Linked DNA regions of Arabidopsis thaliana. The protein of the gene in region 1 interacts with the protein of each later gene in a pairwise test. Each region holds a gene or a part of one and is shown on either strand. Other genes may lie near its edges.

Region 1 (8,081 bases):
GTGACAGAGCATAAAAATCTAAGTGATGCCTCTCTTAAGTATGTTGTTTAATTTTCTATTACACTGTACCCTTCACATTTTTATGTGAATGAATAAAAGACAAAGACAAAGATGCTGGTCAGTTTATAATCAAATTTTACATATAACTTTTGGATTCGAGAGACGAAGAATGCAGAGACCAAACTATAAAGAACCAGTTCACAAGGTTAGGCAGTTTCTCTAATGAAGAGTATTTTTCTTGTCTGCTTTCCATATAACGTGAAACAAAGAAAACTACAAAACTATTGATTTTATGTAACAAACCTTTTCCTTTTGTACGCTGCTGTTCCACCATTTTCCCTTGCACTGCAATTGAAACTTCACGAGCCTGAATCATAGATAGAAATTACATCAAGCATTAAAGCAACTTAGGTTTTTTAATCATCTGATTCTGCAGAAACAGACCCATGTATATACTAGTCTAAGTATAATAGCACTGTTAAATATTCTGAAAAAAGTTTCTTAATATTTGATAAGCATTTGTATTTCCTTTTAGAATATTCTTGTGTTACAAAACAAGATGTAAACTACAGAATTTAATACCAATATTCTTATTACTACTAAAAAGATGGAAAAATATAGAGTTGGACAAAGAGTTACAAATTAAAAGCCAAATGGTAAATTCAAGCAGAATTATAACAAAAAAAAAAACTCTACCTTGTACTCATCAATAGCAACTTGTGCAAATGCTATATCGACATCCTTCTCCCTAAAGAAAAAAGACAGGAAGAAAATGATACTTGAGGGGTGATAGATACATAATTACAAATTGTAAATCATCTTATAGCATGCTTCTCAATTTATGAAACAACACAATCACTATAAAAAAAAGAAGGAAACAAGTAATAATATCCATTGAGAGTGTTAGAGAATATACCAAGTTGCTTCAGCATAAGATAGCCCTTGCCACTTTACTAGATACTCTGGTACAACATCACCTAAACCATCTTTGCTTATTCGATCTGCAATTATTCTTTCTACCTAAATAACATAAACAAATTAGCTCAGAGGAGGAATAATCTAATAAAAATTGCAAAAGCAATAGATGTAAACAGCAGCAGATGAGACGTGAAATGAGATTGCAAATTTGATGGAACGAAAACACTAACCTGACTATTCTGCTTAATGATGTCCAGATCCATTTCTTTGCTCACATCGTTGACCTCAATCTAAAAGGTTAAAAAATATATCAAGTGAAAGAATTTCAGATTTATATACCATAACAACAACTCTGGCAGATCTATTTGATATATTCCAATGCATACTATGGCAGCACATGTTCAATATGATAATGCCTAAATATAAACAAAAAGTTAGTATCTTACGTGGTAAACATGGTTTCACAAGCTAAATAAGAAATATAACCATGTTGTGAACCATCAGAGTAGCATCTCATGGCATTCTTCCTTGTACATATAAGGATAATAAAAAGCAGAAAATCTTCCAGACATTCAAACATTACCTCCTCTCGCGAGAGTGCTGTCCTGTACCTAATCTCCTCCGTCACTTTCTTTGTATAGTTAAGAACCTTCTTGAATCCACTAAGCTGTAAGAACACACAACATAGGTAAAGAAACAATAAAAATTAGCATTATCTAAAATATATGCAATACATTGATCAAAATTAAAATTAAAAAAGGAGTCCAAAGGACGTACATTTTGGAGATCACTCAACGTTTTCCACTGACAATGCAAGTGTGATTGGCCTTTCCATTTTATAAGGAATTCCATTTCATTCCAATCTGGCTCAGTATCAAACAGTTGGCTTACTAGAACAGGAACTGTTGATTTGTTATTTGTCTGAACATCTTCACCCATACCCTTCAGCTGATGCCAGAGCACTTTTTCAATAACATCAGCATCCTCCTCTTCAATGTCATCCTAACGAGCATATATCAGATAAAAGGGAATAACATAACAAAAAAGTTCATTAAGTAGCTGGGCAAGGCTTCTAAAGAAATTGCTTTCATTCTAGGCCAAGTAGTTGAAATTAATGGCTGCTCTAGGTCAAATAGTTGGAGTTAATCAAATCAAAAGACCGTAAGTTCTCCAAATTTAACATGTTTCCAACAGAAAGATAATATGTACGACGTGCAGATTATAACTATAGCAATGAGTTATTTAGACCGCTTTAGAGAAGGCTCATGAAACTACTGCCAGTCTCTATCAAATGTATTAGATTCCCACACGATAACATAAGCAAGTTGAGGGTGTAAAAATGTATAACCTTAAAAAATGTAACAAGATATCATACCTTTTGGTTTTTACGATTTTTCCCATCATCTATATCTTCACTGTCTTCACTCTCTACATAAGAGACTTTACGAACTGATCGGGTGGAGCTGCGAACTTCACTACTCTGTCCTATGGTATTGGTGGACCTTCCATTGTTTTGTCGGAGAGTTGTGCCTCTTCTGGCCAGGCTTCTAAAACCCTCATCATTGTCATTTTCAGAGTCTTCCTCTGAGTCGTCATCTTGATATGATGTTTTCCTCTTTTGTCGACTAGAAACATGGAATGATTTTCGTTCGAGTCCAGCGCTTGATTTCCGGAAACCTTTACTTTGTTGCCTAACCTTGGGCTTTTTTGTTCCGTAGTCGTCCTCGTAATCGGAAAGATCAATTTCTTCATCACTCTCAGGGTCTTCATCAGAAACGTCCCAACCTTGGCCATGCTAAAATCAAACAACCACACAGTTGTAACATGTAAGAAATCCCATCAAAACTATAACAAGTAACAAGCTAGAACACAACATGTTAACTATAAATGAAGATCCTTCCGAATAGCAAACTTAGTTAAGAAATGGTTCAGAAAGTATCTCCCTTCTTTTGTTCAGTTTTAGCTTCATTGTGATGAACATGTATCCCAACACAAGAATTGTAAGAAGTCAAACCTTTTTACTTGCACCACCATCATCAGCAGCATCATAGGGCTCAAAGTCAGCATCTTCAGGGTCATCCTCTGATGAGAAATAAGATCAAATGTTACTGAAGTTCAAACCAAGCACTTGACGTGGGAAGTATTCAGAGGAAAAAACATAGACGTAAGTTCTAGTACTGCGTACAAACAAACAACAGAGTCAAATCTATTTAGGAATCCAAATTAAAAGAGTTTACCATCTTCCTCCTCTTCATAGTCCATATCAGCATCCCCATTGTGGTCATGATTACTATCACTATAGTGAATGTTTTTGTGAATTGCTCTTGAAGTCCTTGAGTTGCTATGGACAGCAGATCCTGCCTTTGGCAGTGATCTAGAATTTGTAGGATTACTATACCCTTTGTAGTGCACATGGTCGCTTTGATTATCTTCATCTTGTTCATAATATTCATCAGACAACATTTCATCTGCTGGGACATCAGCTTGACCACTTTGATGCTTGTTCATTTCATTATCCTCCTCCTCATTTTCATTATCATTTTCATTTTCAGAATCTAACTTTTCACTCCGGTCATTTGAGTGATTATCTTCACTATGATATGCTTCTTTGTAACCGGATTGTGAATCTTTGGCAGGATCAGAACCCTCTCTTTGTCCCATTGGCTGACAATCTTTCCAAAATGTGGAACCCCATCTACCAGTTACACCCAATCTCTTTGTCGAAGATTGATAATGGGAATCCACAGGATCAGCTACATTATCAACTGCTGTCTCATTTGGCTGCCTAATACTACATCCTGGTTCTGGGTCACTTTGATACTGTACGTCCATGTTCATGTCAAAGCCTCTTTCACTATAAGTACCATCCACATCTTCATTCAAAGGTGAACTCTGAAAAGTAGCAGCATTTTGCCGCTCCTCATTTTCATCAAGAACATTATGTGACACAGTATCGTTTGAGTAGTTCCTAAAGAAAGCCATCTCGTCTCATGAAATCAGCAATTAAAGTAAGCGCTCTCCTTGCAGTCGACAACAGCCACAATTCTTCTAACGTCTCAGTAGAACTAAGAAAAAGAAGAAGACGAATGAGTTAATAACCTGCATCAAAATGATACTAAAAAAATTCGATAAAAACCACACTTCACACTTAGTTATTGATTAACAGGAAAATAAGAGAAGCAAAGCATTGTTTCAACTGAAAATTAAGATTATTCCAGAATTCCAGGAGCACGTAACATGAATTGATTTCTCCTCTCCATCAATGCCACAACAAAGCAGATCTAACGGAAGCTACTCTGCTCTTCAATTGAGCAAACAACAAGACGAGGATAAAAGTCTAAGCAATCAACAAACTCAATTCAGTGGAACGAAACGATAAACGAATTGAAAGCAGATCCACACGATTAAAACACGAAATCGAATCCTAAAGCCCTCTAAATCTCGAATTGTTAGGATAAACGAACCCTAGAATTAGGTATACGAATAGAGAAGTTTCCCAGAGAAGAAGCACAAAGGAAGAGCTATAGAGAAGAAGCTATTAAAACACAGTCACATAAGAGATGATAAACTCTGGAGAAAATTCACGCTAAGAGTTTTGACAAACTTTGATTTGAAAAATCAAACACGCTTCTAAAAATCTCACCGGAGAATCTAATCCTTCGAAATCGAATTCAAACAGAAACTGGAAAAAAGAGTCTGAAATTCGTAACGTTTATTTGGGATTATCGGAAGTTTTGTATCGGAGTTAAAAGAGAGAAAACGGATTCTGGTGATGATAGATCGTAATTGAGAAGACGGAGAAGGTCGGCGAGGTAAAGGAAAGACGATCACCGGAGAGCGTTGGTTTTGGATGGGATCGTCGGCTGCGAGAGAAGGCGAGAGGTCTCGGGGAGATTTTGAAGTGAGAGAAAAAAAAAAGCGTTTGGAGAAAAGAGAGATTGGGTTATCGGACGATTAATAATATTTGGTTGATGAGATTGTGGTTTTGGTTTTGGTTTTCTCTATAATGGAATTATGGACTGCTGCTTATTTTTTATTTTTTTAAGGGTAGGCATGAGATATTTTACTTAGGGTTAGGGTTAAACTTTTGAATTTCCAGACCACAAAAAGATAAAACTATATGAATTAGAATATAATTATTTGAAAGAAACAAATTAGGTTGCATGGTGACATATACCAACTGAAAATATATATGATCACACCAAAAATTATAAACAACTAGGAATTGATCAGCGATATATTACAGGATAATATGTTTTCTAAAATTAGTGGATTTTAAAATTTTATAATTATGTAATATATATAAAAGTTTGTAAATTGTATTAATGATATTTTTATTTTATAGTTTACAAGGATCACTAATTCTTTTTGATGAAGAAGCATCCAAAGTGATCAAGATTAGGGTTCTTCACTACATGTTTCAGTTTATTATGGACAACTCATGGCATATCTATGTTAGTCCAAAAGCTCTTTGAAAATTATTTATCTACAAATTTTGAGTTTAGTGATGCAGATGCAGGTAATACTTTCAAATCATTCATGGATGGAAGAGCGAGCGAGCTTTTGGCATTGGAGGTCAAATACTAGATGAAACTCGATCAAGAATGAACCCAGATTCTCCTGAAGCTCAAGCATGTCTTATGATTGGACCAGAGCCGGATATAAGCAACCAGAATTCCTTCGAGATAATAAAGAAGAATTAGAAGATATTGATAGTGACGTGTCATCAATGAGATCAGAAGATAGTGATTAAAGTTTATTTGTTATTACTTGTTTTAGTTAGTTTAGTAAACATCATTGGGAATTTAATGAAAAAAACCCTCAACTTTGGCCAGATCCATTTTTAAACCCTAAACTATGTTTTTAGTAAAACAAACCCTGAACTAAAACCTGTTAATAAACTTAACCCCACAGTATTAAATATTAATGGGATATTAATTTCCAAAAAAAACAACAACGAGACATTTGTATTTAGCGCAAAAACCACATGATGTTCTTTAAAACTGTTTTGAATTTATTACAAAAAAAACGTTTAGTGTTCTAAATGATTTTGAATTGCTTAATTAGTTTGGATTTTAGAAGCTGAAAGAAAGACACAACAACTTAAAATAATCCAAAGAGTCATGCTTAAATAAATCCAACCAACATAACTATCGAAGCTGTTGCAACACAACAATATTTGTCACAAAAAAAAACAATCGTTTCAGAGGGACAAGATATTCTAAAGTAAAGACTTGTCAAGCATTAACTTTGAAGAGAAGATTGTATTGGTTGAGTGATAGGGTTCTCTTCATCCATTGTTTTCTGTTTTTTCCTTGGTCGTCCTTGAGGTTTCTTGGGTGGTTTTGGCACTGCTTTACGCTTGCATGAACGTTTGTTGTGTCCGACTTGTTGACAGTTGCTGCAAGTCTAAATATGCAAAGATTAAATTAAATAATTTGAAAAGGAAGATCTTGTCAAACATAATTCATTGTTCTCTATTTTACCATAATTATATCAATGTTAAGTTTATTAACAGGTTTAAGTTTATTACTGTGGGGTTAAGTTTATTAACAGGTTTTAGTTCAGGGTTTGTTTTACTAAAAACATAGTTCAGGGTTTAAAAATGGATCTGGCCAAAGTTGAGGTTTTTTTTCATTAAATTCCCAACATCATTATACCACGGGTTAATGTTTTATTCATATATATAATAATATTAAATTTTAAAGTTTTTAATTTAGTATTAAAGTTATATAATTTTATATTAATGTTGTAACTAAAAAAATTGGTAATGATAAAATAATAAAATAAATATTTAACCAGTGTTATATTAGTCTAAACCCGTCCCGAAATATTTCATATCAATCCAAATCTGTCCGGTCTCATGATATTTTTTTTAAAATTTTAAATAATAATAATGTTTTATAAAGTTAAAAATATATCAACAATATTAAAAAATAATAAAAAAAAATTACTTTAATGTGATGACATTCTTTGTAAATTCTTACTTTACTAACACAAAAGTACTATAAAAAGGTACTTCAAAAAATTTAATATATATAATGCTATTTTTTGTAAAACAACTATTATATATAAATACGTAGTTTAATCATAATTCTAGATTGATATACTTGTGTTTTTTACTAACTTTATTATTATTTCAATAGCCTAAATTTGGGCATTTTGTTAATATTATTTGAGTCAGCAATATTAGCTTAATACGTGCACAGTTTATTTTTGCTAGAAAAAAAAAATTTTAATAAAAATCAGAAAAGAAAGTTTTAGGAAGTGATAATTATTTTGTACAATTGCAAATTTAAAACAGAAAATGTGGATTGGGAAATAATTAGGGTTTCAAATTTTTAAAATGTTACGTAATTAAAAATTTTTAATAAAAATATTGAAGCATATATTGTAATATAAGATTTGATTCATTTTATTAACTGAAAATAAATATTTAAAACAAAAATTCAGGGTGATTAATGTTGGTGTCGGATCCCGCACCATGGATTCGGATCCAGCCAAAGATTGCGGCACAAGTAGAAGAAGCCCATAAGAGGGAGGGCCCATAAGCATCCTCGAGGTGAGAGTATGGGCGAGATGTTGGTTTGCGAGGTGAAGGCAGCATCGAAGTCAGGATTACTCGAATTGGAGAAACCGAATGGGCCGAGAGGTGAGGTCCAGAAGGCCCGGAGTGGACTCGGTTTAAACGTTCAAATAGTTAATTCAAAGACTAAAAACGGATATATTTAAAGTATAATGATTGTGAGTAAATAGGTATTAAATGTATTCTTTGGGTATAAATTGTGGGTCAAAGACCATGTAAAGACACACGCATTTCTTGGTGCAAATTAGCTATACACATTCTTTTACAATACTCATAGTTTTCTCTATGATCATTTATCTATTTTCTAGTATATTTGTCCTCAAGAATAATCCTACCCACTAAATAAATAAATACTTGAGTGTGTGAATCCGACATTCACATTTTGTCGCCGTCTGTGGGGACGGATGATTCTTGAGTCATCAGCTTTTTTCTGTGTGTTACATACCCGAAGTGATCCGCAATGTCAGGAGAGGATACTACCAACGCTTCGATAGCCGAAACCCTCAAGACCATGCAACAAACTATGGCCGATATGGCGCAGAAGTTTTCAAACGTGGAAAAAACTGTCGAAACACTG
Region 2 (8,076 bases), on another chromosome or scaffold:
TCACATCAGCGGCTGGAGTAGTATCTGTGCTATCTGAACCAAGAAAGGTTTAGTTAGATTAAGCCATCGCACAATTTCTCATGGACGGTATATGCAACGGAATATACAACTAACTAGAAGACAAGTTAACAATGTGCATACCTTTTGCACTAGATCGCTGATCACTAGTCCCCTATAGAAAGATAATATCAAAATCAATAAAAACATCCCACTAACACAGGATCTGCTTTACTTGGACTTAAAAAAAGTGAAGTACCTCGCCATATATTTTCCGAGCAGCCTCCAACTGAGACATTTCCACATCCAAAGCGCTAACCAATTCCAGAACCTCTGGGGTACTAACAAAGCGTACAAACCTATAAACCAGCAGGCACAAGAGAAATTAGAGTATTTACCAGGACCTATGCTTCACAAGACTCAAAAACCCCTTGTTCAAGATAGAGTATAACCTTTCGAGGGTCCCTTTCGTAAACCAGGTTCCAGCATTTTTGTTGCTTTCAACTTCTAGCCTGATAGACTGAACTTCCCGGGAAACCTGTTCTTCTGCAACTTTCAAATGAGCAACAAATGGTTTCACCAGTCCAGAAGCAAGTTTCTCAGTATTTCCCGTAGTAGATACAAACAATTCACATCTGCCAGAAAGAAACAACAAGAAGAGTATCTAAAAAACCAACTAACACAAAAATGAAGAATTCACTCTCTGATTTTAATACCTTGACCGCTTTGGAGAGAGTTGGAAGACAGCATAATCAAGAGGTATAGCTGGTCTCATCTTGACCCCTTTACACAAAATTTTCAGTCTTCCCCCTTCACATACCCAAAGACAGCATTAAAAGCTTATCCTAAGTAAAAAGCAAAACAAAGTTCGTCTCTAAACGTAAATGCTATAGGAATTTGAAGCGTCCAGAGAAAATCAAAGAGAAACGTGACTAAACAATAGAAGTATCATCAGTAAATACATAAAAGCAGTGTCCATACACGGATTCAATTTAACCCAACTAAACCAACATCACAATAATAGAAACCCCAACACAAATCACAGAATCAAACACATTGCTAGATCTGATTCCGATCATGGAAATTTGAAAACCCAATCACTAAGAAAACTGATTCACGCCCAATAAGGACGAATCCTCGAAGACCCATGATTCGAATTCAAATTCAAGACATAAAGTAAAATCCCAAATCCAATAAGGAAACAAAACGCCATTGAAATTCAAGTGAAGTCCTGCTCGGATCAGACCATACCTGAGAATAGAAACAAAATGAGATCTTCGTCTGTTTCCGATGAATCAGTCTCTTTCAGATTCACATTCGAATAGTTACTATCATTGTCGAGATTCTTTCTCTGCTTTCTATATTCAGCATCCTCTTCTTAAAGCTTATTAAAACCCTAACAATGAAGATTGTTTTCTTCTGTTTTTGGCTTCACTCAAAACTCTCAAGTCAACTTCGTAATTAATTTCACTTCCGCTGATGGATTCAATATCTCTCCCATCATTGTGTGTCTCCTTCCTTCCGCCGTAATCTATCTTTGTCAAAAATCTACTTTAGAGAGAGAAAGTGAAATCAAGAGAAAGAAATAAACGTTCTTCAGACAAAAATCACCATTTTTGTTGACGTGAAGTAGCGTATACGATGACAAAACAAAAAAAAAAAGAGAGTAATAGAGCGTAAAATTTGAAATATTAAATTAAACAAAAATCAAAGAAAGTCGGCAGTAATTACGAAATTCCGGAAACAGGTCTCGCCGAATCCTAAACGGCTTTCGTTAGTTACCCATAATACCCTTTTATTCTTCGAATTTATTGCTGTGAAGTATATAAATTGGAGGGGTAAATTAGTCTCTTACCCACAGATGGGCCAAGGAACAAATGGGTATATTGGTACTTTGCCTTTCAGATCCAAATATTTAACGTTAAGAGTAACAACGATTCGCTGTTTTAGAGTAAAATCTCTATGTGCAAAATGTATATTATGTTAAATAAACACTGTACTAAATAGATGCTGACAAAAAGAAGTATTTAAATTAGAGCTTATTCTACTCTACTGAAAATTAATAATATTAACACCAACCATTTTTATTCCAACTTTTGGAGACACTTTAAATCAAATGATGGACCCCCTGAAAAAATATCTAATTATAGGATATCACTCTTTATTCTTCTTTAATTTTAATGGACAATTGACCCTAACTATATATTTATAATGGAGACATGGCTTTAAATCCTACCCAATTCTTTCTTTCTTTTTGGTATCTTTTCTTGCCCACTTTAAAAAAAAAAAAAGAATATTCATTTGTTACATTAATAATTTACTATTTCTTTAGTAATCACTACTTTTATTGCTAGATTTAGTTCCAAAAAAAAACTTTATTTTGAAAAAAAAAACTTTATTTTGAACTTTACTAAGGAAAAATCTTGATTAGTAATCCTAGTGATACCAATATATCATTAGATAATATCTAATCTATATGTCTAAACACACGTGGACCTTTGGAATCAAACTCTTTTCTACCTAAAACAAAAACAAAATTCAGAAGATTTCAAGATGCTTTATTTCTTACGTTTTCATTATTGTATTCGTTTCAAAAAAAAATAAGAATAGTGCAAGTTAGAATGATGTTACGGTGGGACTCGGAAGATGGTATTTTTACTCAAATATCATGATTCACCTTTCGATACATGAATATTAGCTTAGTGCGGAAGGTAAAATTGTGAGAAACATCTATGTGTAATGAATTTGAATTGACTGTCATTTGTTTAGTACCTATAAAATGCCAAAAGGCAAACATCATAGAAAAATAAATAAACAGACCAACGAAAAGGTTTCTTGCCTAACATTCTTCTTTTATAGAAGATCATCATTGGTGGTTTGAATGATGCTTCAGACACAAGAAAATCTAGCTCAAACAATTACTCAAAAGAAAAAGAGTTAAAAAAATGCTTTTAGGTACACATGCAAATCTCCAATGTCATAATAACCAAACATAGCTTTAAGATTTTGCGGTTGGATTGTGTCAAAAATGTCCTATGCCATGTTCTAACCTAACTAGTGAAACACAATCTAACTCAGAGATTAAGAGAAGTTCAAAAACGTGCACAAGAGTCTGCAGCAGAATGATCTCAGGCAATCTAGTGAAGTTAAATCTGTTCCATATGACCAAAGTTAAGAAAGATATGCAAAATATTAATACACTCATGAAGCCTAGATAAGTTTCAGTTTCTCTTTCAACAATTAAAGACTCAAATCTAAAATATATCAATTACGACACTGCATCACTAAATTCTAGTTATTACCCAAATCGTTGTTGTTGTTGACAATCGCATTGATGTTGTTCTTGCGGCTGTGATGATGATCATTACTGGTGTTTCCCATTCTCCTCCCATGTTGCTGCTTAAGTTGTGATATCTCCAATTGAGTCTTCACAAAGAACTGCATTCTCTGCAACTCAAGCTCCTTCAAGAACTTCATCCTCTCTTTCTCCATCTCAACCACCTGTTGCAGTTTCGCATTCTCTGTTTGCTCATAAGCTTCACCGAATCTCATGATTGCCCGAGTCAGCTCCCTCCATTTGTTCCCCACTCCATCACCATCTTGCTTCTTCTTCTCCTCCGTCTTCATCCTCTTCGACAGAGGAGGAGGTGGTAAACTGTCACCGGAATCATCTGACATTGCTGCTTCAGATTCCGAGTCTGAATCAGAAGCGTTCCTCTTCCTGAAACGCCAGCGTTTCGACTCACTACACCTTTTCACCATCATCCCTTGCTGCTGTTGCTGTGGCAGTGTCCTACCTTGCTGTGGCAGAGTCCTCCCTTGCTGTCCAAACGGAGCTGAACGGCTACTCATCGGAATTCCCATAGGTACATTGACAGATCCTCCTCCGCCTCCTCCACCACTGCCACCGAAAGAAGCAGCTGAGACTCTAGCCGTAGCTCCAATTAACCGGTCAAGATTATTGAAAGGCGGTGTTGCAGCCTTAGCTTGCTGATGGTACAGATTCGAACGACTTCCCATTGGAATACCCATAGGAATCTTATGCAATCCTCCGACAGGACCGCTGACTCCAGAAGTTGCCGTCGGGATCTTCGCCGTTGATCCAATCAGACGGTCAAGCTTGTCGAAGAACACCCATCTGCTACGGCCACCGCCGTTAGCGATTCTCACCTTCTCTTGTTTATACTTCTTCTTCACCGTATCGATCCTATTCTTACACTGTATATCAGTTTTGGGAATTTTACCGTAATCCTCTCTGCTGCTCACAATCTCAGCCACCTCTTTCCAGTGCTTCTGCTTCAGATTCCCTCTGCTAAGCTCCAAGTATCTCTCACCCCACGCATCAATCAACACAGCCGTAGCTGCTTCGCTCCAACAATCCTCCCTCCCGCCGCCGCCGGTTGGTCTCCCACTGCTGTTATTCCCTCCACCGCTGGCCTGAATCGGAAGCAGCGCCAGAGCCAACGCATCCGGATCCTTCTGCGACGAATTACCCGGAGGAGTCAGAGAATAAGAAGGCGGACCTGCCGAAGCCACCGTAACCGTGATTCGTCCCGCCGGCGGGGAGGAAGACGGATCAGGTGAATCGGAACCCTGAGATCGGATGTCTTCATCGTCCTCCATGGAATTCGATATCGCCGGATCTGAGTCAGAAGCTCGTGAAAGAGGGAGATAGGGTTAGGGTTTGGGTTAATATTCTGTTCGGGAGGGGTAAACGGGAAGGAGACGGCGTCGGTGAGTAGAGGGGACACGTGGAAGGACGTGAGAAGATACGGGGAGATGACGTGGAATGACGTGATTGGTAGGTCAGAGGTAAGATTCCGTCACCGGTAAAGTTGCCGGCTCGGTTTAGGGGTAAAAGATGGGTTTGTATCGTAATTTCCCCATTTCTTCGTAATCCGATGAGGAAGTGTATTGACGGAAAAGCCCATCTAGTTTTACTATAATTACCGGAACTATCCCCGTGAACCATTTTTCCGGTGATGTACCGAAATTACCCTTAGCCTAACCGTCAGTTTCAATATCGGTCGTAGACTTTTTTTAGTCCGTCGATAGTTTCCAGTTGTCTTCCTTCGTTGTCTTGCTTCATTCGTTAAATCGATTCGAATTAGTCTCTCTTTTAACAATAAGAACGGTGACGTGGATGTTATTTACTTTGGGCATGGGTTTTTATTGGGCTTTCCATACGCTACGTTAGCATGTTATCACTTAGTATCATTTTTTCTTTTCACCATTGTCAAAGATACAACTTTAAACATTCCAGAAATACTATGTTTCAAAAAGACCTTATATAATCTTCGTGAATTGTGAAACAAACAGAAATTTAATATTTCTCAAATCTCAAAACACCAAAAGCGACCATTATGTTATGTACACAGCAAATATATATATACAAAGAAAAGTAGTTTGGGATACTTCTTCTTCTCGTAGAAATACCTTGTAATATTTTTCAACGGTCCAATGCGTTTAGCACAATCCTGCAGTATTACCGGACGTTAATTAGATATGGTGGTACTAATGAAAGCGATAATGCGTTGGATAAAATGAAGTATAGTTTGAGAGGAAAGAAAAGAGAGGGAGATCAAACCAATCGCAAGCATTGAGACTTGTAGCATGTGTTTCACTTGGTGTTCCAGCTGCATACAAATGATTTTGGTAATCATTAATTTACAAATCCATAATACTCTCAAGCTAATAATGATTATGGATGTCAAAATAAAAAAAAAAAATAATAAAAAAAAGCTTATAATGACTATGAACATATGTATCACCTTGCAAAGTCTTTAATTTACATGAATATATAGGGTTTTAACTGCTCATAACACAAGCATAGAAGATAAAAAAAAAGTGGATCAGAAAGGATTTTTAAAAAAGGTAACATAAGAGTCAAAGGGGAAACGGGGTTGCTTGAACGGTCAGGAGAATTCGGGACACGTTTCAGATCCACCATCAACTTCCGGTTGGCACTTTCACCGGATATGTGGTTTCTCAACTTCCCGAGACCATTTTCCGGCGTTGGACCGGCCAAAGTTTCATCCCACAACTTGTGCGAAAAACCCATATCTCTGATCAAATTATTAGAAGGGTTTTTCTTGTTAATTGTCTCTAATGTGTTTTGAAAAGAGTTTTTTTTTTGTTAAGTCTTCTTTATGTGAGGATAATGGTTTTATATAAGGAACAGGAACGAGAAGCGTTGAATATCCTTGGTTAGACTAATTATATACACTTTACCTATAATTTAACCTTCCAAAATTAAGGAGATTTAATCAAGGATGATGATAAATCTAGCCGATAAGAAGATAACTTAGAGAAGTGTGACATGTTTTGCTTCTATCTTACATGATAGTTTGATGCCGTCAATTTGATTTATGTGATGGGCCTGTACCTGGGCCAATTCTTGATTAGGCCTGCATTAAAATATTCTGCCAACGGCTAGAAACTTTTTCTCTTCTTCTATAAATTTACTTTTTTTGGCCTAATCCCGGAGGTTCTTCATTATTTCGTCAGAACAACATTGAAAAGTTACCGTTAAACACTCTAAGCGCTCTTCTTCATCTTCTTATACACTTCTCTTCCAACAAGAATCTCACCAAGAAACTTCTTCACTTTTACAAAGGTAATCTCTTTCTTCCTTCTGATTTAGGTTCACATTATAGACTGTTCTTCTTGCGATTGTTTGTTCTTCTTTTCGTATGTCGCTACTTGATTCGTTCTGGGTTTCTGGGGTCTGTGGTGTTAAATTTGCTTGAGGATCGAATTGGGTTTTGTGAAAAAAACGATCTTTGTTTCGATTTCGAGTTGGGTTTCTGTTACCTTTTTTAGGGTTTCTAATTGCTTAAAATCGTCAGTTCTGGAATCAAATCTTCGTTTCTGCAATTGGTTCTTTGATGATTCACAGTTAAAACCATATGGCGAACATGAACGCTCTTCAACAAATGATCTTCCCAGACGAGAACGCTCCAATTCATCGCAAAAGTAGTTAATCTTTCTCTACTCTCTTTAAATCATATTGCTTTGAAACAAAGATTTAACATTTTCTTTCTTGGCTATTATTTACAGAGTCTGTCACTGCTGCTTCTGTGAAATCCAAAGGGACTGTACTTGGTCAGAAGAAACCTGGAGGAGCTCGTAAGGCTCTGAATGATATTACAAACAAGTCTGGGATTCATGCGAAAGCTGCTGCTTCTTCAAAGAACAAGCAAATTGCTTCTGCTGCTGTGAAAGAGATTGATATAGCTGGGGAAAGGTTTTTACATGATCACAGCAAATGCATCAAAGAACAGCAAAATCTTTGGGATGATCACTACTCTGCTGATCTCATGCTACTTCATCATGGTATTGTATTTAGATCTTCTAAGCTATGATGTTTAACCAATCTTTGCGAGTAAGCTTGTGCTAAACTTGATCTTTTGTACTTGCAGGTTCCAGCATCAAGGAGAAGCATCTCAATTGGGACATTGAAAAGGTACTGTACTTAAAAAACAATGTCTATCTCTCTGTCTTTGATGGAGATTTTGGTGAGACTGCATCTTTAATCTAGTTTTGGAACTTAAAGTGACACTTTTTATGACTCTATCCTATGTGTTTTTGGTTTCAGATGGATGCTAAGGACGATCTGACTTACGAAGAACCAGAAGAGATGGCATCGCCCAAGTTTTCTGATTGGCTGAAGAACTCGACTCCATGGCGCTCTCCAATCCGTCATGGCTCTATGATGCCTTCCACTCCTCTGGCTTGGCGGTTCGATTCATGCGAATTCACACTTAAAGAAGACTCTGACGACCTCTTCTGAGTTTCTGTTTCTTAATGTCTTCAAAATTCATCCTTCAGATGAAGTAGTAATAGTAGTAGTGGCGTTTATCTTTTGTTCAGCTCTTCATGAATCACTCTGTGTCTATCACTTTGTAACTGGTTTCAGGAAATAAAGTTGGTATCTTTTCAAGTATTTTGACTATTCATCAAATTTGTGCCATATTCAGAATCTGAAGTTTCGATTTACACTGTCATGTTTCAAGCCACAATCCTAAACATCATCAGAATTCACTTTTACAAACATTCATCTCTTCAACTGTGAACTTA
Region 3 (10,202 bases), on another chromosome or scaffold:
TCCTAATCAATAATGGCGGCTCCACGTAAGACAAAAACAAATTAAGGAAAGAGCGAGAGAGAGAGAGAGAGAGAAAAAAGAAGAAGAAGAATTTGAGGCGATTGGGTAAGCGATGCACATCGTCTTCTCTGTCGATGATTTGACCGAATCCTTCTGGCCTGTTCCCGCTCCGGCGCCGTCGCCGGGATCGTCATCGACTCCGTCACCGACGCAGAACGTGGCGGATGGGATGACTCGAAGTCAATCGGAGTGGGCGTTCCACAGGCTTATCAATGAGTTGTCTGGTTCCGATTCGAGCCCTACGACTAACACAATCGAGAGATCACCTCCACCGGTTCAGTCTCTTTCGAGATTAGAAGAAACCGTTGACGAAACCGAAGATGTTGTTGAGATTCAGAAACCGCAGAATCATCGACGGCTCCCTGTTGATGATCAAGGGAAGAATCGGAATCGTGCTCCGTCGTCTGATCCGGTTGATTCTTCAGCTCCTGTTGTTGTTGATCCTAATCAGTATCATGCGATTCTTAAGAGCAAGCTCGAGCTTGCTTGCGCTGCTGTTGCTCGTCGTGTACGTCTCTTAGATCCATTTCTTATGTGTATTCAGATTAAAGGAATTGATGATTTCAACAATAAGGAATGTTTGGTTGTGTGTTGATTTGATATGATTTTCTTCAGGTGGGAACTGTGAAACCGGAAGATTCGAGTGCTTCAGCTAGCAATCAAAAACAAGCTCAAGGTCACGTATCGTTGCTTTGTTTTGGTTTTGGTTTTTTGACTCTCTCTAGCTTTGTCTCTCGTCAATGTCAATGTTTAGATTACATAGAGAGCAAACATTTCATCGAGATTTGTTTGTCAATTTGATTAGACAATTAATTAACTGCTAATCTCTCTCAGTAAACTCAAGACTTTAAGGGAATTTGAAGATAAGTAGGCTTTGTTTTGGAGATGACAGCTTTCTCTGTGTTCATTCATATTTAATTCTGTTCTAGTCGAGTCAATTTTTTCTCTGAGAAGAAAGAAACAAGGCATACGTAGTATTATGCGTTTAGATGAGAATTCTTAGCCTTTTGACTCTCCATTCTTATTAGTGTAAGTTAGTGCATTATACTAGATAGCTTTCTTATTTCCCGCTTCTTGTGATATGTACCTGGATGAAATGTTTTTCAGTTAGTGGATAATGGGATTATTTTGAAATTATCTAGGCTCCATTGTGGCACAAACCTCACCTGGTGCTTCATCTGTTAGATTTTCTCCCACAACAAGCACGCAAAAGAAACCTGATGTTCCAGCCAGACAAACTAGTATTTCATCACGAGATGATTCTGATGACGATGATCTTGATGGAGACGCAGATAATGGAGATCCTACTGATGTGAAGCGTGCTAGGAGGTACAAATCTTGATTTTTGTACCTTAGAATGTTTCTGGTAATCGTTCTGAATCTCGAGGCTGATAGATATAGACATGCTTTTGGGAAAAGGCTTGTACCTAATAGTTTCTACTTTCTACTCTCTCTAAAGAGAAAGAAAGAACTGAAATCTAGTAGAGGAATGTTTCAGTCAATTTTATGTTGTGACTGTTGTTCTTAGGAAACAGTCAGGCTCTATATATTTAACTTTTTCGAAGGTCATCCTGATTCATTTTTTTTTTTTTGTAATTACCCAGGATGCTCTCAAACCGAGAATCCGCTAGGCGCTCTAGGAGAAGAAAGCAAGAACAAATGAATGAATTTGATACACAGGTTCGGTCTTTTATTAGTTGCTCATACATTTATACATTTCTCGAGTCTTTCTTACTTTTCAACAGTCTTCAGGGGTTTATAGGTAAAGTTTTTACCAATTGTAGGTAGGCCAATTAAGAGCCGAGCATTCAACTTTAATTAATCGTCTTAGTGACATGAATCATAAGTATGATGCAGCTGCTGTTGACAACAGAATTCTAAGAGCTGATATCGAAACTTTGAGAACAAAGGTACTCTTGTGACTCACGAGTGTTAAGAATTTAAAACACCCAAGATTATGATTTAATAACTAAGTTAATTGCATTGATAAAAAACCTGTGCAGGTTAAGATGGCAGAGGAAACTGTGAAAAGAGTGACAGGAGTGAACCCTTTGCATTGGTCAAGACCAAACATGGGCATACCATTCAGCAACACACCGAGTGCTTCCTCTAGTATTCCGCCAAACTCTAACCACATTTTGAAACCAGCAAATTCAAGTACCAACACCAGTGCTGGTTTAGCACAAAATCAGAGAGTGGAGACGGCAAATTTCTTGCCGGAACAGGTGAACCGTGAAGGCATGCAGAATCCATTTGCTCCTGATTCTAATCTGTATGAAACCCTACCCCATTGGAATCACAAGCATTAACCAGAAAAAGAGTCATTGGTTTTGTGATTTTGATTGAGGTAACTATTGTCTGTATTTTTATTTACTGTATGACTCAGCGACGGTAAACTCTTAATATTATATATATGATTGGACATGATGGAAGAATGTATAAGCTATCGTGCTTCTAAGGCAAATCGAAGTTGAAATGGTCGTAGACGTAATCACGTAAACATGTGCAGCAGCGTAAGCGTATAAACACAAATGTATCAATAGTTACTTATGGCAAACGTAACCGTTTTAACGAAATGTTGAGCAACAACAACTCACATTCATCAGATTAAAGAAATCTGTGCAGCGTAAGCGTGAGTGTAAGCGTGTAAACACAAATGACCCATGACGCTCATTCTCTTCACCATTGTTGATCCGATCAAAACCACCGAAACTGGTGATCCCGTTCGATATCAAAATTTGGTTATGTGATTTTCATCAGAAACATTTAGTAAAATGAAATGTGTCTTTACAGTTGGAAATAAGCTTTATAGAACAAATTTAACCTACAAAGTAAAAACTTAAACATTCTGAATCTAACTAAATCAAATATTTACCTATCCGAAAAAAAAACATACAAACAATTAAGCTCCAGTATACATGGGCCTAAAATAGTATACATGTATTCCCAGTTCCAATGAAAGTATCTTAAAATGAAAGATCTAGAAAATGATATTAATATAACCTCTACCATCTTCTTCTATTGAGATTTAGCACCAGATTGGAGACCTGCTTGTACTTTGCTATGGAAGTGTGTTTCCAACCTTTTAAGAGAAAGAAAAACAAAGTAAATGCACTATTTCATTACTGAATAAGAAGAGAAGAAATGAAATGAAAGAAAAAAACGTCTTACCTGGTTGCACATTTGTAATAAATGGTATCGGGGGAGTTGTAAGTTCTACAATTGTTAAACATCCGTCTCGCATCCGCAACAAACATATCCAATGTCACGTAATACTGTTCCGACTCTACCCTCTTTGCAATTACCTTCAGATCTGTGTTCAAACCATTTTTTGGTTACCAAAGTGATTTAACACTTCTACTTAAAAAGAGGACAAATTCTGGATAATTAATAGCGAAATTGATATTTTAACTATATCTTCTTACCAATGGGATCCTTAATGATGTCATAGTAATCAGGGACATCGCGAGAATCCACTGGTTCTTTGAAAGGCCAAGCATCAGCATGGTCTTGCATTGTCTGTAGCAATTAACTACAGCTTGTCAAATTAAAGGGCATGTAATTGCAATAACATAATATGTAAGAGGACATAATAATTAATAACAAAACAAAAAAGATTTATCACAACCTTTAAAAGCGCACGCATGAGTGCATTCAACTGTTTTTGATTTGTCACCATATCAGCAGAACCATTGAATAATTTGAAACGAGTGTGCCCCCACTGATCTGGGGTCCAACCAGCTTCCCCTGCAACAGTATACCATAATTCATGAATTAGCCAATTCATGTATTACAGATAAACCCTTAGCCCACAGCTAACAAATGCAGGAGAATCTCAAACATGCATATCAACTTGATCTCATGGAGCGACTAGCACAATCTTAATTTTGAGATGACTAGAACATTTTAAAGGGAGATATGTCTATATTTTGGGTAAGAAACTGCAATAACACCATCAAGTAGAATCATAACTTACTTAAGCCACGTATTTCCTCAACTTTGATAATCTTTCTAGGAATTCCAGCTTCATTCTGCAAAAATCATCTCATTTATTATTACTACTGGAAACATTGTATACAATAATAGCCACAAGACATGAAACCATTGATGTTTACCTTTAGAAACTCAATTTTTGGATACACATTCTGACAGTTTGATAACTCTCTTATCCTTTCATCAATTGCCTGATATTATAAAAGTACAACCGGATCAGAAACTGATACGTATAATTAGACAGAAATGTAACAATGGTTACTCGTTTAGTGTTACGTTGCTATGCTCTCTTGAAAGCAGATAGCTTTTGGGAGGGCAGCTTGATTTTTGGGCTCATAGGGGAAGACAGGAATTTCCATTAATTAATTCCTCGAGAGAGAGAAGAGAGGAACTTTCAATAATCGAATCCTCAAGTTTGTATTTCTTATGTTTTTAATTTTTTTCAGAATCAGCCATAATGCTAGAGTTAAATAGTGAAAGTAAAGAAAGTAAACAAATAGCTTCGTAACCTGAAGAACTATTTGGGTATAGATGAACCTGAAGGCTCGAGATATTTTTTCACCACATAAAAGGTATTTTCAAAGGCTTACCTTTCTTTGCTGGCGTATCATGCTTGACAAATCCGTATATGGCAGCTTTGGATCAATTTTGCATTCCATAAGGAGACCACCATCATAGTCTTTAATGAACCTAAGAAAATTTCAAAGGTTTTTATTTGCAAAAGTAAGTTTCAAGATGAAGAAGAGAATGATAAAGACAAGTTTTAAATAGCTCTCTCGTAGCATAATCAGCCACGCAATAAAATGCTTGTATTCTAAGGTTTGTGAGCTTAATTGGGCCAACAAATATTTAAGTTAGACATCATACAGATAAAGCACAGAAGTTAAGAATGGTAAATGAGCAGTTTGAACTTAAGAGATACATAGTTTCCATACCCATGCCATACATCTTTCTCCAAGTAAATCTCTTTAGTAAAACCCTGCACAAGATAATAGACGTAACAGATCAACTTAGTGGACGACTGTAAGAATATAAAAATTACAGTTAGAATCCAGAAAGTAGACTTGATAGCTAAGTGTGGAAACAGAACTTTTAGAAGTGAAACTCTGAGGTATCTCCTATTAACCAATAGAAAACATTACATCCAAAACACAGTTCAACTACTTTTCTGGAATGTACTACAGTTGGTCGAAGTTTGTTGAGAGATTAAAAATAGAGCAAAAAATTGCACAATATACGAAACACCAACCTGCTTGACGAAGTAACCAACAGCATTGTTGTCAGCATAAGTAAGAAAATGCGTCAATCCATCAACATCACGTGCATGTTGTTTCAAGTGGTTCATCAATCTGGTACCGTAACCTTTTACTTGTTCATCTGCTGTGATTGCACAAAATGCTATTTCCCCAAACTTCTGACTGAATCCCAGGGAAACAATGGAGTTAATAAGCATGTCAAGACTGTATTCATGCTCATTATGACATCAGACAGTTTCAGAAATATTCTATAGGAAAAGTAAGCTGTGTTTGATGATAATATAAGATAACAAGTCAACATGCTACTCTCTAAACAGCAAAAAGCTGTATAAGCGTATTCACATACATATGGTGGAGAAAATCATCACTGGGTCAAAAGATGGGAAGAGTTATGCGAAAACCTTACCTGTGATATGGACGATACGTGATACCACCTACAACTAGATTCCCTCTTAGTACCATAACAGACTTATGTTTCCTGGGCAAATAACATAAGTTACAGATATTAGAATGCTTACCATTTGCGATTGTTTGTTACAAAAATTGTCAATGTTTCACTTTAGTTTAGCATGTTTACCTATCCATCAGAAGACGAACAATGTACTCCTTGGGCATATTAGGTAACTGTCTTGCAAAAATGTTCTTCAACCCAATCAAGCTGGAATACATTCAACAAATTATTCATAAAAAACGAGGTTAGAACGAAGAATGCATAGCTGATTAGAAGCTAAATTCAATGGCAGGAGACAAATGATGGAAGGCATTACCACATCATATGCTCATCAATGGAATCATTTGAGTAACAAACAAATTTGAGTCGTCCTGCTTGCTCCTAAATGAAAGATATCACCAAATTTGTCAATGGCGATTCTCTGAACTCATCTAGTAATTCATTAGCATAGATCCAGTGATAAGCTACCTCTCTTTTCAAAGCCTCTTCTCTGGCAATGTAAGCTCCGCTAGTCTGGAAATTCTCAGCCAATACCTTAACAGACTCATCCTTTGGCACGAGCCCTGAGATTGAGCTTCCTCCAACAGTGCCACTCACACCAGTCCCAACCACAGATGATCCACCATCTTTTCCACCATCAGAGCTCTCAAGCTTCACCGTGGAGCTTTCCGTCTTAAGTTTAGTGTTGCGACTCGAACCGTTGACTCCAGAGCTGGAATCGAGTCGAGCGGCGGTGAATGTGCGGATAGAAGAGTCCTGGTCCTGTTCAGGAGCAAATTCGTCCTCGTCATCATCCACGACTATATCCTCTGATTCATCAGGATCTGAATCTGTATCGGCGCCGCGAGCGGAGATGCTCTCGAGTTCATCGTTGGAGGTTAAAGCGCCGTCGCGAGTATCGGCAGAGAAGGAGGAAGGAGGGAAAGAGGAAGAAGGAGGGGCGTGATCTTCAGAAGCGGCTGCATTCGCTGCCGTGGTGGCGGCGAGTTTGCGTTTGTGGAGAGAAGAAGTGACGGAGGCGGAGGCGGAATGAGAAGGAGAAGGAGTCTGAGAACTGCGGGAACGATTGGCGGCGTTGAGGTGGGAAGAGTGAGAGTCCATCGAAGCAGTATAGTGAAGGTGATTGAGAAAATCGTGACGAAATCGAGAGTCTAGGGTTTTTGCTCAGATAATTTGGGGGCGGGAAAGACTACGCCGACGAACGGAATATTCTGGCATCGTTTTTTTTTTTTTGTTTTATTGATCCAACAAATTTTAAACCGAAACTAATTCGGTAATTGTAATTCCTATGAGTAAATTTATGCAGTGATTAAAATGTGATTAACTATATTGGTCGGATATAAACAGTACAATTCGTCGGTAAATTATTTAAAAGTTCAGTATACTTTTTGGATGAACATTAACGTCTTTAATCCGTTTATGTGTTGTTTTATTTTATAGTATGTTGTTAAATTTAACTTCACAAAATTTAATGTGTTTGGAATCTGTTACTAGTATTTAACAAGGAAACACAATTTGCTGGTGACAGATTTTGCTATCTCTAATCAACTTTAGTCTTGAAGTAGTGTTACAACATAAATGGTCAATAGAGCTTGTTTACCAAATGTAAAACGAGGAGAATGACAACTTGATAGTGGTAATTTCTTATAAAAAAACACAATTAGAAGAGGTGTAAGCAAGTGTGGCAACTCTTCTTCCCATATATATATGCAAATCCAAGCTTGTACATAAATAATTAGAGGGACGACCTTATATTTCGACATACAAAGATATGTTTTTATTTTTTTAGGCATTAGACGTTAAAGCACCACTTGACATTAGAATACAACAGAGAGACCAAGTGCAGTCGACAATGCATACAAAAAGGCAGGAAGATCGGAAGTTGATGCGGCTGTGACCAGCTTGTCGTCGGTCACGCACCGTTCAGATTCCACGATCTCACCACCAGCAACCTTCACAGCCACCTTTGTCCCATAACTACTTGCACATCTCTTCTTCTGCAATGTAATAATATAGCATGCCACAATGGGAATTAGATGAGTTATAACAAGCTGGCAAAAATTATAATCTATGCTAAGGAAGTGGTGCCATAAATGTGATGAATTATATCTTACTAACCTTCAACAATATGCTGGAATAATATTAGTCATAACCATAACCATAGGAGATTCCTATGTGCTTAGAGCAACTTATCTTGACATTTTTGTTTCGTTTAAATTAAAATATGGTTTGGTTCGGCTTCAGTTTTAACTTTTAAGTCTTTAGAATAGTAAAACGAATTTTTGTAAAACGGTGTATATTACCTTAAGGGCGCCTGTGGCGGCAAGTAGCCAATTTCCCATTCCAATGGCAGCAACAAACTTGCCTTTCTCAACAAACTTTCTGACCAATTCGACGGCCTTGGGGTTCATCACCAAGAGCTCCGGAGATCTTCCTCCGGGAACCACAATGCAGTCGTAATCATCCACAGAGACATCATCCCACGCAACGGTCACATAGAAGTTGTGACCAAACTTCTCAGTAGGAAGTTGCCGTCCGTCTTCAAGGTCGTGTACGATTGTAGCGCATTTCTCACCTCTCTTCTTGGTTGGCGTCACTGCATCCACTTTACATCCCAAAGCTTGAAACGCTTTAAATGGTACGTTGATACTATAATCTTCAACACAATCCTAAATATACCAAAATTACGTATTAGTCAGACCATTTTTTTAATTCCAATATATAAAGTCTAAAAGAGAGTCTTATGAAAATAAGCTACTTACCCCAATCAAGAAAAGCAAAGAAGTCTGATGATTCTCTTTAGAGCTAGAAATCTTGGAGCCAAGTGATTCTAACAAAACTTTGAGACTATGGCCAAGCGTTGGCCACCCCATAGTGGACATGAAACTGCCGTCCTTGACACAATCAGTGATTTCGAAAAGGGTCTGGACTCCAGGCTGTTGCCACCATGCGCCGCCGGAGAGCTCGATAAACGGTTTCATGCTTTCGAACGCCGTGCACTTCATTCCACCGGTGAGCAGACCTGCCGCCGCAAGAAACAGCTGGCTGTGGCAGCTCGTGAAGATGAGCTTCTTGAGTTCGGCGAATCTAGCAACAAGACTCACGCATTTCTCGTCGGCGCTCAAAAGTTCCGTGAAACGTCCACCGGGAATGATGATGGCGTCGTATTGGTCGGGGATGACGCCATCGAAGTTAGCGTTTAGTGTTAGATGGTCAACCACCAGTTCGGTGTATATCTGTAAAAAGGTAAAAGTCAAATTGAAACTCTTCTTTTTTACTGTTAAGAGTAGGCCCATGCATTTTGGGTTGAGACCACCCAATTATCTAAACTTTTTGGATAAAGATAATAAAGGGGAAAGTCCACCCAATTATGAGCATTTGATCGCATTGTTTTACTAAATATGCAAAGAACGATTGCAAGGGAAAAAAACTGAAATGAAGAAAAAGTGAAAGATTCGAGAAATGCCTCGAGGCCAAGGAGATCGTGAGCGGCCATGACGCACTTGTCGCCAGTTTTGCGACCAGGAGAAACGCAGTGGACGCTAACACCAAACGCTTGGAGGACGTAGAGAGGTACTATAGTCTCGTAGGCTTCCATGAACTCTCCGCATAACATCAAAACCGATTTCTGAGCCATTGATCCCATTGTTTTTTCTTAAGACAAGCACACACAACTAGTGTGTATATATATGAGTTCAAATTATCACAGTGTACTTTTTTTTTCTCCAATAAAAAAAGAGATAAGGTTATATATATAAGTGGATACGTTGCTCTATTTGGAGATTATTAAAAAATAATTTATAGAAAACTACAACAATTTCTATTTCGTTCAAAAAATATAAAGTGGTTTAGTTCGCGATTAGACTAGTTTGCTACGTCTACTCTCACCATTTAAAATTGAAGAGAGTTAAAATAAACACGTGTTAATTGCAAATTCCCTACGCACACCAACCTCTCACCTACTTGACATCTTCTTATGCATAACCCGGGAAGCCAAATAAAAACGGTAAGGCCAGATTAAGTGGGGATGACAAAGAAGTAATTGTAAAAAAAGTTTGTTGCCTCAGAGCCAGCAAAATAAAAAAACGTATTAAGATTTGTTTTCTTAACAAAATTAAAATTGAAAACAAATCTTAAACAATTAATGAAGAAAAGTAAATTACAAGGCTTGCATTTTATGTAAATGGCAGAGTGCATGCAGCAATGAAACTACTTTATTAAAACAATAAAACTTAATATATTCTTAGTTAATTTATATATACATTTCTTCTATTTTTAAAAAAAAATACAGTGTACTCCAAACTTTATCAGAATGGTCGAAAATAATCAATTACCATATGATTAAAAGAACATATAGAATTTGGAAACATTAATCAAAAAAATTATTTTAAGCATATTGTTGGATTTCTTTAAATTGAACGGTAAAAATATTCAACATAGTA

Evidence for each region.
Region 2: the proteins of CHR5 (region 1) and ASIL2 interact in binary tests that used the Arabidopsis thaliana proteins (3 or more experiments, as listed by UniProt).
Region 3: the proteins of CHR5 (region 1) and HAG1 interact in a two-hybrid assay, tested with the Arabidopsis thaliana proteins (one study listed by BioGRID).

What each region holds. Positions count from the first base shown.
Region 1 is NC_003071.7:5,551,644-5,559,724, forward strand, and holds the start of CHR5 (chromatin remodeling 5), read right to left. Parts: upstream 4,918-8,081; 5' UTR 4,562-4,917; exon of another isoform or gene 4,156-4,561; intron 3,984-4,155; 5' UTR 3,901-3,983; coding exon 3,156-3,900; intron 3,001-3,155; coding exon 2,933-3,000; intron 2,714-2,932; coding exon 2,294-2,713; intron 1,921-2,293; coding exon 1,696-1,920; intron 1,586-1,695; coding exon 1,502-1,585; intron 1,209-1,501; coding exon 1,149-1,208; intron 1,021-1,148; coding exon 917-1,020; intron 749-916; coding exon 697-748; intron 368-696; coding exon 304-367; intron 1-303. UniProt on the Arabidopsis thaliana protein: DNA-binding helicase that specifically binds to the promoter of target genes, leading to chromatin remodeling, possibly by promoting deposition of histone H3.3. Probable chromatin remodeling factor.
Region 2 is NC_003074.8:4,704,002-4,712,077, forward strand, and holds ASIL2 (sequence-specific DNA binding transcription factor), read right to left. Parts: upstream 5,176-8,076; 5' UTR 4,621-5,175; coding exon 3,289-4,620; 3' UTR 2,801-3,288; downstream 1-2,800. Other genes in the region: AT3G14172 (GPI-anchored adhesin-like protein), read right to left, coding at 1-33, 142-172, 257-356, 450-632, 714-772; AT3G14190 (uncharacterized protein), read left to right, coding at 6,906-6,972, 7,057-7,332, 7,419-7,462, 7,595-7,789. UniProt on the Arabidopsis thaliana protein: Transcription regulator that may repress the maturation program during early embryogenesis.
Region 3 is NC_003074.8:20,210,252-20,220,453, reverse strand, and holds HAG1 (histone acetyltransferase of the GNAT family 1), read right to left. Parts: upstream 7,049-10,202; 5' UTR 6,862-7,048; coding exon 6,229-6,861; intron 6,142-6,228; coding exon 6,077-6,141; intron 5,968-6,076; coding exon 5,887-5,967; intron 5,788-5,886; coding exon 5,716-5,787; intron 5,472-5,715; coding exon 5,303-5,471; intron 5,033-5,302; coding exon 4,989-5,032; intron 4,744-4,988; coding exon 4,644-4,743; intron 4,245-4,643; coding exon 4,176-4,244; intron 4,092-4,175; coding exon 4,037-4,091; intron 3,808-4,036; coding exon 3,689-3,807; intron 3,580-3,688; coding exon 3,486-3,579; intron 3,374-3,485; coding exon 3,232-3,373; intron 3,143-3,231; coding exon 3,079-3,142; 3' UTR 2,801-3,078; downstream 1-2,800. Other genes in the region: BZIP25 (basic leucine zipper 25), read left to right, coding at 113-568, 676-736, 1,203-1,389, 1,665-1,740, 1,845-1,970, 2,064-2,369; DJ1F (Class I glutamine amidotransferase-like superfamily protein), read right to left, coding at 7,578-7,757, 8,064-8,429, 8,523-8,996, 9,227-9,406.